2 linked regions of the Arabidopsis thaliana genome follow. Each later gene encodes a partner of the first gene's protein in a complex. Each region holds a gene or a part of one and is shown on either strand. Other genes may lie near its edges.

Region 1 (7,879 bases):
AGACATGTAGTTGCAGTGAAAACCCACAAATCTTGAATGCAAATTTTTAACAGAGAGCCTGAGACTTGTTCTTATATCGTGGAGTTCACAAACAAAATAAAGAAACGACAACAAAAGCCTAAACACACGCACACATCTCATAACAACTTCTCAAGCTGAATATCATTTGATAACATTAAAAAACAAATTGAATTGCCTGAGTTTGTTTAGTTAAAGTCTCACCTCTTATTCTTTCGAAACACCAAGGATCCACTGGGAGAGATGAGTCAAGTATGGCTCAGCCTGGGAGCCTTTGCTCAAGACTGGTCCTAAGCTCTGCAACTCCGAGTTGAACTCCCTTTCGAAATTGCTGGTAGAACACGTAACAGACATATTAGAACAATACCGTGATAATGAAGTTCAAAAATTCTAACAGCAACGGCTTTTGTAGAGATAGTGTAGCCATTAGTTTGAAAAACAATTCCTTGTTACTACTTACAATATGGACTCTGTAACGGTTGTGTCTCTTATCATTGTCTTCTGTGGATGAGACTGGCTATTGATGTCGATAGACGATGATATCAACCACTGTGTGGCTGCAGCATATTGCAGACACACTGATTTCAACTTCTCCATTTTCTGCACCATCAGTAAATATGAGTGTAAAATATTGATAAACATTACACTATTATTAGTGCGTTCAGAATTTTTGCTCTTGTTGCACGAAAGAGAAGCACATCACACTGTTACATCTGTCCTGAGAAAACATAACATTTAGTGGAACAGCGACAAACCTTAAGGACGTCAGGTAAAAGAAGCAAGCATCCTCTCAGACATTTATCAAGAAAAAAGTCGTGATGTTGTATCACCTGCAAGATGATGGCACATTGTTCAATGAAGAATGTTTTCCCTGCAAACCAAAACAAAGCAGGTCTCTACACTTACCTCATCTACACTCCTTGTGGATTGTAGTCTATCGTGCATTACATGCCAATTTGGTTCGAGAACCTGAAGAGACATCCCACATAAAGACAAGCAAAAACAACATTAGAAAAACTTAGAGAGGCAATAGTTGCTAAAATAAACACCAAATCATCTCATAAAGAATTATGTCTTTATATACTTCTGGTGTGATTTCTCTCCTCTGTTCATTGATAGTGTACTTATTTCTCCAGAATCACGTTTTCAAGAATGTATTTCTCGAAAAACACAGTTGCAAGAAGTGCCTACATTTGTAAGTATGGTTTTTACGACTACAGAGATATCTGGATTCAATATACAGAGTGTATGTCAGCAATTCTAGAAGTTAGTTTTCCAGAGACTTACACCGCAAAATCACAATGGAAAACAGGATCTATGAATAGACAATCAGAATCTTTAAAAAACAAAAAAATATTCAGATTCCATTCTATTAGCAAAAAAAAATGTTTTAAAAAACAAACAAAACAAAACAAAAAGAACATTCAGACTTGCCTCGAATGTAAGATAATGTAGAAGGCTACTGATGAATTTAAGCATGCTACGGCAGAGAAGCGATGATCTAAGAATTGCTGTACCCTTAGAGTTCATAGACCGAATCCCCTGTAGAATTTTCACAGCAGTTTGTTAGCGAAGCAAAATGATTAAAATGGTTTTAGAAGAAACCAAAACTGAAACAAATTACAAGCTACACAATATTATATCAGTCCTTACTTGATGTATCTGCCAAGCACCACAAAGCTGGCGTTCCACATGTTTGCAATGAAAAAGAAAGCGGAAAATTAACTGGTACTTTGACAATGCTTTCTTTGATATGACAATAGATAGTGGCCATTGAACCTGAAACACAAAGCCACAACCAACAATCAAACAATTGAGTAGCCAATCGAATATGCATTTGTCGATTACTTATATAAGTATGAATGATGACTCTAGAAATGCATTAGTAGTTATATATAACAACCATTAATAGCCATTAAGCTGTGTTATTACTTATATATATCTCGACGAACAAAATAGTTCGAATCCAGATACAAACAGGTAGTTGCAGACAAGGCAAGAAAGGAGCAGACCTTGTAGCTCAAGGAAAATGTCTCTAGACCAGTGATGCTCATTGGGTCCTCAATACTATTGCTATCAGTGTCCTTGTGCATTCCCAAAGTCGTAAGCAATGAAGCTCGATCCTAAGATATGAATACAAAGTGAGAACATATAATGTACAAACTCTGTAAATTCATCACATCCAGGAAAAGACAAATTAACTGCTCACCACACAACAAGTCAAGTCTTCGTGACGAGGATCTGCTGCAGCCGCTGTGGTACGTAGAGCAAGATCTAGCAAAGACTAAATAATACACATCCATTTAGATTCCAGCAAACAAGTAGAGGCCATAACGATTTAATAATGGTAAGAAGCTTTGTCTAATATTTTGAATCATGCTCTAAAGGGGAAAAAAGTACCTGCAACTTTTCAACAGATATTTCATGCACTTTTTTGTTGAGCTCCTCTCGAGCAATGTCCATAAAATGAACCAAGAAATCACCCTGTAGTTCATTACATTGTTATACCAAAATCAATGACTGAAGAAAACAACTCAACAACAGACTTTTCACATTGATAAATTTGTGCCTAGGAAATTCTGAAGAACTCTGAAGATAACTGGTTATTCATGAACAGAACCAGCATACCTGGTCGAGAAGAAGATAGTGCTTTATAGATCGAAGCCTTCCAACAAGGTCATACTGAATCATATACTGATGGTCAGAGAGGTGTATTGACGAGGAACGACATCAAAGAAGCAGTCATCATAAAACAAAATAAGTATTACCTTATCCTTGATGAGATTCACAAGCTCTATACTGGCAAATTCGTGAGCAGCCTTTATGCATTCAAGATAATGATGATTTGACCCAAATATTGTTAACTTAGATCTCTCTGATATGGGAACCTGTTAAAAAAAATCAGCCAATGTCGGGTCCAGTGTCACAAACACTGTTAATTGTATTAATAAACAGGAAATTCATTCACAATCATACCTGAACATTGTGCCCACATTCTCTCATAACGTTTAGATATTTCCCTGTGGTCAATATTGTTGCAGCAATGTTTGCTAGGAAGCCAGGAATAGTATCCTTAAGGCTGTATCTTTGGCTCCAATATTTAGCTGTAGAGTCCTGACTGAGGCTCTCCTGTACAAAAAAAAATTGACATTGTTAGATCAAGCAATTAACAATAGTGCAGACGAGCTGAGCAATCGAAGTACCTTTTTGAGAGACCTGTTCTCGGCAATGAAAAATTCCCCATACGGATCATCAATGATCCCTTCATAGACCCACCTTAATTAAACACTATTTAAAGTTAGTTGACACATCAAAGAATAATAATATAAGCGATCTAGCAAATAGGGTAACCATGTACAGATCTGCCAAACCAAAAGATAACAAACATGTTCGCTAATCACTCCATCCAAACAAAGGAAAAACATAGTCACAGGTTGGACTTAGATTTATCTGAGCATTCCAAGCAATAACAAAAGGGAAAGGGCAGAGATTGTAGCACAATGTTTTTTTTATGGGAGTCTAGTTACGAGCAAGAAAGAAAGAGGCATGGTAATCAACCTTTCCAATATGCTTAGGTATGCGTTGCTTGCACACTCCGTCATTTTCTCTAACAATGACCTCACTGAATTATCACCAGCCATCGCTTTAGCCTAGGCATGATAGTCTTCAAGATTAGGACATTTAATAAAAAAGCTAATTCTAGTACCAAAAAAATCCAAAAACTTTTAATGACCAAAGCAGGAATCTACCTGACTTTGCAAGAGATTAAGAACACCAGAACCCACAAACTGCTTCGTTGAAGCCTGCTGAATTACTGCAGCCAATGCGCGCATGGATCCCATCATGGGCTGAGAGATACGAAAAACAATCGATCAGCATAATGTTTACGTAACTTGTAGCTTGGATTATTTGAAGAAAGACAGACCTGACAGTAAAACCATAATCCTTGGATAGAAAGTCTTCCAAGTCGAAATTGATGTTCCAATTGTGCCACCATGGCTTGATAATCCTGGTAAAAGAGAGGATGGTTAATACTAGTGTAACAATAGCAAAGAATGTTGTCAAATTACCTCAAAGCTAACATAAAATGATATCCTCAGTCCAAAAAATGCATGACATGTGTTAGACACGAAACTCAAGATGTGAAATGGAAAGAAAAGAATCAGACTATCAGTTTATTCAATGCGGCAATAGTAAGAGAGGGATTAGAGAGACAGTAAGAACTTGGAACAAAGAAGACAGTAAGAGCTATATGTGTCATCTTAGATATTCATACATATGCATATACACACACTCAGAAATGTGATAAAAAAACACCAATTCAGTGGACAAGAAAGAAACCCAATAAACAAACTAAGAGCATTCTAAAATGAGCTTTCCAAGTTCATATTTTTAGTTTACTGAGTAAATCCCCAAACTTGACTATTAGTTAAAAAAATCCATATCCAGTTCGCAAAATCCCCCATCTGTAACAGAAAGGGAACGAAAAATAACTCAACAAACAATGGATCACAATTTCCACAAAGCTAGCAACCTATATCACATACAAGGAGGAGTGCCCTGAGTGCAGCCGCGAATGCATGGTTAACTAGCCCGTTCTTGAACTGCGAGCTTGACTCCACAAATTGGTCAATCAGCAGATAATATTCACATAAAGGAAATATTCTTTTCGCCAATTCCTGCAAAATTATTTGCAACGGTCAATATATATGAGAAGAGCCAATTAAATAAAGAATTACAATGTTAATCCGTTATAACATCTCTAAAAATCCTATTCAAAAGAGAGAACCATCCTAGACATAACATAGTAATGCATGTGTCCATTTTATTGGACTTCGGAGATAATTGAACTTTCAAGAAGTCAGAACACCAATGAAATGCATCAAGTTTCATAAACATAAATATACACTTTGCAAACATCACTGTAACAGTCTCAATATGTGAAAGACTTTGTACATACATGATACATATGCACTAATTCCGGTAGCTCTAAGAAAGAACAGATCAAGCATGGTTAGAAATCACAGATTTTTTGCAGTTGACTACTGTAGACCATCATGATAAAAATGTTTGGGATAGGAACCAAAAGTTATTGTGTTGAGTACTACTTACCTGTAGTGCCAAATCCATTGATGGATCAACTTGGAAAGCTATACTATCCTCCTTCCCATGGAATCTTTTAATTGAAATATATCTCCCTTCAATTCCAACCAACGCAGATAAGAGATCATCAATGACGATAAGCTCCTGCATGCCAAAAGGAATAAAAAACAGTTACTGAAATGGACATAACAAAAGAGGTGACACCAATTCTAAACCTAGGCTAGGAAGTTCCACAATTGTTTAGCTCAGGTCAATTATCCTAGTCTATGCCACGAAAACGAGAAACCAACTTCACCTACAATGATGCCAACTTGTAAAAACTACACAACTCAAACCCAAGCTTTAAGGACCCCAACACTAGTTTCAAGGTTACATAATAACAATCTCACAGAATAAGTGGAAGCCAAGAAAAAAAGGGACAGACTTGCTTTGTAAAATAACACAAACCTGAACCGGTGTGTCATAGCAGCCAATTGCCTGCTCTACTCCAGAACTGCTGAAAGCAAAATATAAAGGTCAATGACTCTTTAGAATAAGATGAAAAAGGAACAGACTTTGGGAGGTTAAAACAGAGATGTATTACTAATTTTTAGTATAAAATTTCAAAATACCTAGACGAGTCTAAAGTAAACCTCTTAGAATCAGCAAACTTGGAGCTTGCCCTCGTTTCCTGAGATAAACCCATTGTCAAAACTACTTTTTCTCAGAAGTTACCAATGTTCACAATTAAATAGAATTTGAACGAATTAGAGAACTAAAATCAAGCACATCTGAAGATCGAGCACCTGATGGAAGCGACCAGTGAGAAATGGTCTGTCTTGGTTCCAACGAGGAGTCGTAGGGCACGAGATTGGCGTCATTGATTCCATTGCTTCGCTCCCAGTCTCTGGAACTAAAAGTTTAAACCTTTATGAAAAAGAAGACACAGATCAGTCAGACAGTCACCATATACCGAACCATCTCCGGTTTTCCTTAAAATGTCCGGTTTTAATTGAACCAGAAATTTCCAGATCCTGGTTTCAAATTCGAAATTAAAAAAGGACAAAACCATTTTTTTAAGTAAAGAAAGAAAAAACCAGCCATTGCTCCTGCCCTGTCCTCCACCTCCAGCTTTGAAATTCACAGAAAATGATTATCTCTTTTCTATTTTATTGGCTTCTCAAAACGAAATAACGAAATCGCCTCCTCTTCTTCTCCTCCTCGACCTGGAAATCAATCTTTCGCCGCCGAGTTCTTCTCTCTGCGGCGGAGAATCAATTAGCAATCTCCAGGTTTTTCACTTCAAAACCTTTCCTTTTATTATCAAATTTTGTTCCTTTTTAGCTTTAGGATTTGATATTTCTAGAACCCAGAAGAAACTCTTGCCCATAACATCTCTATATTTATTGGTATAGAATTAGGTGAGGGAAAAGAGGATGGCTTTGATCGGAAAATCCGAGAGATTCTCTGCTGATTTTGTGATGGGTGGTGCTGCAGCCATTGTTGCCAAATCTGCAGCTGCTCCAATCGAAAGGGTGAAGCTTTTACTGCAGAATCAAGGGGAGATGATAAAGACTGGACATCTCATAAGACCTTACACTGGTTTGGGTAATTGCTTTACCAGAATCTATAGAGAAGAAGGTGTTTTGTCCTTTTGGAGAGGAAACCAAGCCAATGTCATACGATATTTCCCTACACAGGTACTACATTCCAAGAACCCTTACTTTAGATCAGCGTGCTGAGGTTTGTGTTAGATTCTTATTGTCACTAAATTTAATTGCTTTTAGGCTTCCAACTTTGCATTTAAAGGTTACTTCAAGAACCTTCTTGGATGTTCGAAAGAGAAAGATGGTTACTTGAAGTGGTTTGCTGGAAATGTAGCTTCGGGAAGTGCTGCTGGAGCAACAACTTCCTTGTTTCTGTACCATTTGGATTATGCGCGGACCCGTTTAGGCACTGATGCAAAGGAATGTTCTGTTAATGGCAAGAGACAGTTTAAAGGGATGATCGATGTGTATCGTAAAACTTTGTCAAGTGACGGTATTAAAGGTCTTTACCGTGGATTTGGTGTGTCAATAGTGGGAATCACTCTTTACCGAGGAATGTATTTTGGGATGTACGACACCATCAAACCCATTGTGTTAGTCGGTTCCTTAGAGGTAATGTCATCTATGTATGCCGTTATTATTTCTTAATCTATAGCAGAAAATAGCTAAAAATGGTTCTTTGATTCCGTGACAGGGAAACTTCTTGGCTAGTTTTCTATTGGGTTGGAGTATTACTACCTCTGCAGGCGTCATTGCTTACCCTTTTGACACACTTAGGAGGAGAATGATGCTTACATCAGGACAACCTGTTAAATACCGGAACACCATTCATGCCTTAAGAGAGATATTGAAGTCGGAAGGGTTCTATGCGCTATATAGAGGAGTTACTGCGAACATGCTTCTTGGAGTAGCAGGAGCAGGAGTGCTTGCGGGATATGATCAGCTTCACCAGATTGCTTATAAGCATTGGGTTCAGTAGTTTTGGACCAAACCCGAAACGATGACAATGAAAGCTGAGCTCAAAAAGAGAAGGTTAGTAAACACCAAGAAGTCTCACTTGCTTTCCAATGTATTGTGTTAATTAACAGAATCTCGGAATCATTAACCGATTGAACCAGCAGAAGATAGGGAAAATTGTTCATAGTTCTTGTGCAGTAACATTGTTATATCAATAATCCAAGAAAGGCCTATTTGATTTTTGTGTACTGGAGCAAGTTTGTTTCATGTATAAA
Region 2 (5,843 bases), 3.7 Mb from region 1:
TCTTATTTTCTTTCTTTATACAATTTCAAACTTAAAAACTCCTTTTTTTGATAATCAAGAAATTTCACATTTTTTTTTCTTTTCGTCGAGATTGAGCTTTGTTAATTAAGAATGGCTAAAGTCAAGGTACAATTGTTCAACCATTCAATTAGGAGGACAAGCATAATCAGAGTAGTAGTTACATTGAAGACAACCATGTTTGGCAAGTAAATGAGCTACTCTATTACAAGTTCTACGAGTGAATGAAAAGCTAATGTTTTGGAAGAAATTTCACATTTTGATTTCTATTTTATACTAATAATTTCAATTAACGATTAAATTAATCAATTCATTAATTGAGCATCATCGTCGCTTTGGCCGAGTGGTTAAGGCGTTTGCCTGCTAAGTAAATGGGGTTTCCCCGCGAGAGTTCGAATCTCTCAGGCGACGAATTTTTTCACCTTTTTTTTTTCCTTATATGTTAACCTCCAGTTTGGCCTGCACTTGCAAATTAATCGACAACCGTGAATTGTTTTTTCTTTTAAATTGGACACGATTGCTTTAGATTTTGAGACTGTAACTCTTGCCAAAAGCTACTTGTTTTTTGTTGTTCATATGCTTCATTCACACAGAGATAGATCAATGTGGATGAGAGGAAGAGTATCACAAAGGTTCTTCTTAATTGCAAGAGAAAGGCTTGCGGATTAAAATCACTGTGAGCTAATGCTTGTGCTCAATCTCAGGCCGTGGCTACAGAAGCTTCTAGATAGTGAAAAATTCAGAGTTTGGAGCCTTTTACACTATGGAGATACACATTATGAAGAAGCAACTGATTCCTTCTTATATCAACCAAGTCATAAAACAAATCATACAAATCAGTGAACCACAGAAGAAGAAAAAAAACTAAAGCTGGAGATCATCAGACTTATAGCACAAACTCAAACACAAACCTTCCCCAATTTACCAACACAAAGAATCTGTTTCCCAATCCTAAACTTTGAAACAAGCCATTGAAAAAACAATCTATGCAAAAGACAGAAAATCTATGAGGCAGTCTCTAAATAAGAAACAGATTCTCCCACGCACCTAGATTTTAAGAAAAGAACCTCTGCATCCCTGGTTCAGGAGAGCCCATGCTGCAGTCAGCGGTTAGTGAAAGACGTAGATAATGTCTTCTTCTCTTGCGATTGTGCAATATGCTTTTCAACTAAACCTGATACTCTTTCAACTTTCTTATCCTTTGGAATGCAATCGGCTGTAGAACTCAGTGAAGTCAAGCCGGAAAAAGAGAAACTTGAGATCTACAGATTGTTGCAGAGGCAAGAGAGATAGGAATCCATCAAGTGACGATGTGTATTCCTTTGCAATACTGTCCATATCTTGACTCATGCTTTGTAGAAATTCTCCAGCACGCTGTGTTAAGCCCTTCCTACCCTCACTGATCCATGAACCGGGCTCTTGCGATTTGTTTTTTTCTCGTCCTGATTCTTTAGATCTGCAGGAAATCGGTGATATTAGAGATCAAATTGTGACCCTAAAATCAGAGGAAAATGTTTGAGCAATAGTTTAAGGTCTACTTTTGTTTGAATATAAAAGACAAAACACACCTTATTTGCAACTCGTGAATTCCTTCATACAAACGATCTGCATGACTCCTGAACCGTAATATAAGCTCAAACAGGACGAAAAGTGATTCGCGGATGGTCTGTGACTGTTCACCCAGAAGAGATTTTCCAACAATGGCGTTGAGGTACTTCTCATGCGCTGCCAAGAGATCATCGAGGTCTTTAGCAGCTTCCATCTCTTTTGAGAAATTAGACCATGATACCTCCAATACCTCAAACATGATGTAATACTGAAAGTTAGTAACAAAATGGTTCATTTCATTCCAAAGGACCTGGCACCGCCTCAGGGCTGAGAGTAATTGCAACTTCACCGAACTTTGAAGCTTAACAAATGAGTTCGAAGTGATGCAATTTGGTTTCATGGTCTTCCAAATTCCGATAAGAGCATGCTCTACCCGTTTCAACTTCCAGAGAAAATTGAACACTCTCAGGTATTTAGACAAAACAGACTCAGTAAACACGGTATCTAATGGAACCCTTGCCTCGTATTCCAATGAGAATACATCCCAGCCTCTGTCTCCACTGCCATGAGGCATCATCTTCACTCTCAATCTGTCTAGCATGTCACGGTCATCATACTGTGCATTTGATGCTCGTATTGCAGCCTCAAGAAACCCAGCTAGCTCAAATGAACTAATATTATTGGCTGGCTCAGAAAGCTTGGGTCCTACAATATCCATCAAGTACTGGACAAAATCACCTTGACCAAGTAGTAAATAACGCTTAATCGCAAGACAATGCTCCTTAAATTTATATCTCTTATATAGAACATCCAACAGATGCTTGTCGATTCTCTTTGCTGCCTCGGTTACAAGATGTTCAAGTGCATCTGTTTCACCATACCCGAGACCTCCTCGCCTAGTTGTTGTCCCAGAGGCAGCTGCTGCTTCTGAAGCTGCATCAGCCCACCCGTGGTCATCACAGCAAACACGAAGAAAGTTTATAGATTTCCCAGTTCTCAGAATTCTCTGAGCTAGACTTGGTGAAATAAAAGATGGAAGCATTGCTGGGTGGAGCTTATAGCCTTCTCTCCAAAGCAAATCGACTTTAACCGGCTGACCTACGACAAAGAATTCACCAAAAGTATCTTCCAACTCCCCTTCTAGAACCCAACTTCTCACCATTTCAAATAGCGGAGAACACACACATCGAAGCAAACTCATCATAAAATCATGAACAAGCGGATCACCATGCTGTGCGTGCAAATGGATAGCCCCAGCCATCGCCCCACCTCTCAAAACCTTACACTTGTCAACCAAAACAGCCATCAGTCTCATTTTCACCATAGGCTCCGCAAACCATACCGACAACCTCCTCAAAGAAAGGTAATTGTTTGAGCTTGCTGATTCAGAAACCAAAGGAATAGGATTCATGGCCTGCGCTTCTAGCACAGCTAACAACTTATAATAATCAGAAAGCTCATCTTGCAACGCCGCACAAAACGCTTGCCCAACAGTTCCCACATCCTCAGCTGGAAACCGATCCATACTCTCAGTTATAAAAGTCTTAACCTTTCTAAACAACCAACCAAGCTCAGAGAGCATACGAACCATAATCCTCGTAGCTCGAGGCACCTTAACAGACTCCTGCACGGCATAACCGTCGATTTCACTGTTAAATTTGACATATTTCCCATCAATTCCTTGGCTAGCATACAAAACATCCCTCACTAGAACCTCCTCCGTCACTTCATTCTCTTCCTTAACCAAAATGGCATACTCTCTAAACGCAATATCCCTCAAATTCTCAGGATCTTTACTAACCAACAAAACCCCATTACTCCAATCCTTCTTCTTAGCCTCTCCACGGCTCAAAACCCCATTACCAGTATCACCAATCCCCAAATTAGGTAACAAAACCGAGGAATCAAGACCATTTATAGCCGATTTACGATCGTCAGAAACAATTTTAAGCAAATAAACAAGAGCCCATTTGTTATTGACACTGCCAGGTCCAGTTTTGGAAGCGAACTTAGTGTAGAGATCGGCAAAAGCGAGTGCGTCGGAGGACTTACCCTGAGTAGCGAGACGGCGTTTGAGAGACTCAGCGATAGCGGTGGCGTCAGGGAGGACGGAAGGAGTAAGACGACTAGAGAGGATACGAAAAGCGTAACGAAGGGTTTTGAGGAAGGCGGGAGAATTGGGATCGAGATTAGGGGTTTGAGGGTTTTGTGAGACGAGACGAAGAACAAGCTCTTGTACTAGATCTGCAGCCTTCTGCTGATCGTCGTCTTCCATAATCAATTCAAGCTTTTGCCTTTTTTTTCTTCTTCTTCGATTTCACCTTTTTTTGGATTTTTTTTGTTCTTCGAAGTTTTTTTGGTGAATTTGATTTTTGAAATCGAAAGAGGTTTTGCAGAGTTTGGGCGAGTGAAGAGAGTAGTGAGTGAACGAATAAAAAAAGATTGGGCTTCTTTTGGACTTTAGAGCTATGTAATTATTTTTCCTCGGCGGGCAATTGAATACATATGTTGAAATCCAAAAACATTGGAATAAAAAAACATTATGCAAAATATCTTCTCATTTTTTTTGTTATAAGTTTTATTTCAAATATATTATTTGAAACAACGGAGAAAAATAATGTTTGAATTAAAAAAAAGTTCACAAGTTAATTGATATGTTACGTAGAATTTTTTTGTTTAATGGAATTTTGAGAATTTTCCATTTTAAAATTAATAAAGAAATATATAAATATGAAAAAACCTCATAATATTTAATTCACAATAAAAGGTACCAATAAAAATGTATACTTTTTTAAAAAATTAACTAGCATTTAAAAAAGATTATTTGGTTTTATCTACCAAATTTATGTATTTATTGAGCAAAATAATAAAAACAGTTCATTTTAGACATTTGTTCTCTGAATAGAGGAATGATTTCTCTACTCATTTTAGGTAGTAAAATGTTTCTCTACTCATTATTTTCATCAATGAAGATGAAAATAAAGGAAGCTTATTTCCACTTTAATCAATTGTAAAAAGAAAAGTACAAGATCGGAATTAAAAAGTAAAAATATTAGACCTATTTTTACGTATGTGGAAAAATATTCCCTGTAACAATCACTTTCTACTTTTTTCACTAATTAATTTCTCTATATTCTGTTTGTTACAGATTGCACACCATTTATATATATACACTACTTTACTATCATTTCCATATCTTTATCTTTTTCACACCAATTTACTTCCTTATCTAATCATAATTGATTCAACAACAAAAGTTTAGAAGTTTATAGCTATTTATGACATAGAAAAATCCGTGAAGGCAAATACGTACAATTGTACATGTGTACGTATACGATTCTTCTCTTATCTTTATCTCTTAATGATGTTTTGGTGATTACAGTTTAAGAGAAGAACGAATAAACAATTGAAACTCGGGTATTATCACTTCAAACTTCAAAGGCAAGCGAGAGATTATTATTAAAAAGTAAACACTCTTTTACACAACAATCGCAATCATCTAACTAATTACTCTTTTAATGATGATTATGCTTTTCTCTTCTTTAAGTTCCTCTTCTTCTTCTTCTTCTACGTAATCACTCACTCTCTCTTGCATCATCATAATCCTTTGCATGCGATTCGGCTTTTAGCGGCGGTGATGCTACATTGAGTTAGTACCCACTTGCCTCTCTTCTTCTCTTTTATTGCAATTTTCGACCTAACCCAAGTGTTCGAAGCTCGTGGCATTTCCGTAATTCTCTTATTCCTCTCATTGTGATTCTCTCACTCGCTTACCGATTGAGCTTTGTAAACTCCCAATTTCATTGCTTTCCTGTCAATTTGCAAGTTGCTCTATGACAATTTGGAATCTTTAGCTCAGTTTGACAAAAAAAAAGGAATCTTTAGCTCATTACACAGTCGAGCATAATTCCGTTAGCTTGGTTTCAGTCTGTACTTGATAAAGTTTTGTACTTTCTTCATTTTTTCAGTCACTCGAAGTTTGAATTTGGTTTTGTGATGGGATCTAAACAAGTATCAAAGACTAGAAATGGTGGATTTAGCAAGTTAAAGACTGTTGAGTCCTCTGCATCTTCAACAACCTCGTCTTCAAAACTTTATCAAGAGGCGTCTGTAGATAGCCATAGCTCCCCTACTTCTTCATCGGTTCGAAGCAAGCCTCAGTTACCACCTAAGCCTTTGCAGTCCAAAGAAAATGTCACTGTCACTGTGCGTTTTCGTCCACTCAGGTGAATATGTTGATTTCTTTTGTGTAGGATTCAAACACTTTAGTTTTATAT

What was found. The genes of interacting proteins can lie anywhere in the genome.
Region 2: AT5G17410 (region 1) and SPC98 share a complex: the UniProt entries of both Arabidopsis thaliana proteins name them as parts of the gamma-tubulin complex.

What each region holds. Positions count from the first base shown.
Region 1 is NC_003076.8:5,728,762-5,736,640, reverse strand, and holds the start of AT5G17410 (Spc97 / Spc98 family of spindle pole body (SBP) component), read right to left. Parts: upstream 6,032-7,879; 5' UTR 5,991-6,031; coding exon 5,907-5,990; intron 5,792-5,906; coding exon 5,733-5,791; intron 5,618-5,732; coding exon 5,569-5,617; intron 5,266-5,568; coding exon 5,131-5,265; intron 4,698-5,130; coding exon 4,566-4,697; intron 4,028-4,565; coding exon 3,944-4,027; intron 3,867-3,943; coding exon 3,768-3,866; intron 3,669-3,767; coding exon 3,577-3,668; intron 3,295-3,576; coding exon 3,222-3,294; intron 3,148-3,221; coding exon 2,995-3,147; intron 2,907-2,994; coding exon 2,787-2,906; intron 2,701-2,786; coding exon 2,647-2,700; intron 2,503-2,646; coding exon 2,419-2,502; intron 2,303-2,418; coding exon 2,228-2,302; intron 2,142-2,227; coding exon 2,031-2,141; intron 1,798-2,030; coding exon 1,672-1,797; intron 1,561-1,671; coding exon 1,453-1,560; exon of another isoform or gene 1,042-1,452; intron 988-1,041; coding exon 925-987; intron 849-924; coding exon 774-848; and 5 more. Other genes in the region: ER-ANT1 (endoplasmic reticulum-adenine nucleotide transporter 1), read left to right, coding at 6,537-6,800, 6,888-7,259, 7,342-7,626. UniProt on the Arabidopsis thaliana protein: Gamma-tubulin complex is necessary for microtubule nucleation at the microtubule organizing centers (MTOCs). Required for the positioning of the gamma-tubulin-containing complex on pre-existing microtubules and for the proper organization of cortical arrays.
Region 2 is NC_003076.8:2,054,739-2,060,581, reverse strand, and holds SPC98 (spindle pole body component 98), read right to left. Parts: upstream 4,055-5,843; 5' UTR 3,842-4,054; coding exon 1,587-3,841; intron 1,475-1,586; coding exon 1,213-1,474; 3' UTR 723-1,212; downstream 1-722. Other genes in the region: AT5G06670 (P-loop containing nucleoside triphosphate hydrolases superfamily protein), read left to right, coding at 5,563-5,792. UniProt on the Arabidopsis thaliana protein: Gamma-tubulin complex is necessary for microtubule nucleation at the microtubule organizing centers (MTOCs). Required for the positioning of the gamma-tubulin-containing complex on pre-existing microtubules and for the proper organization of cortical arrays.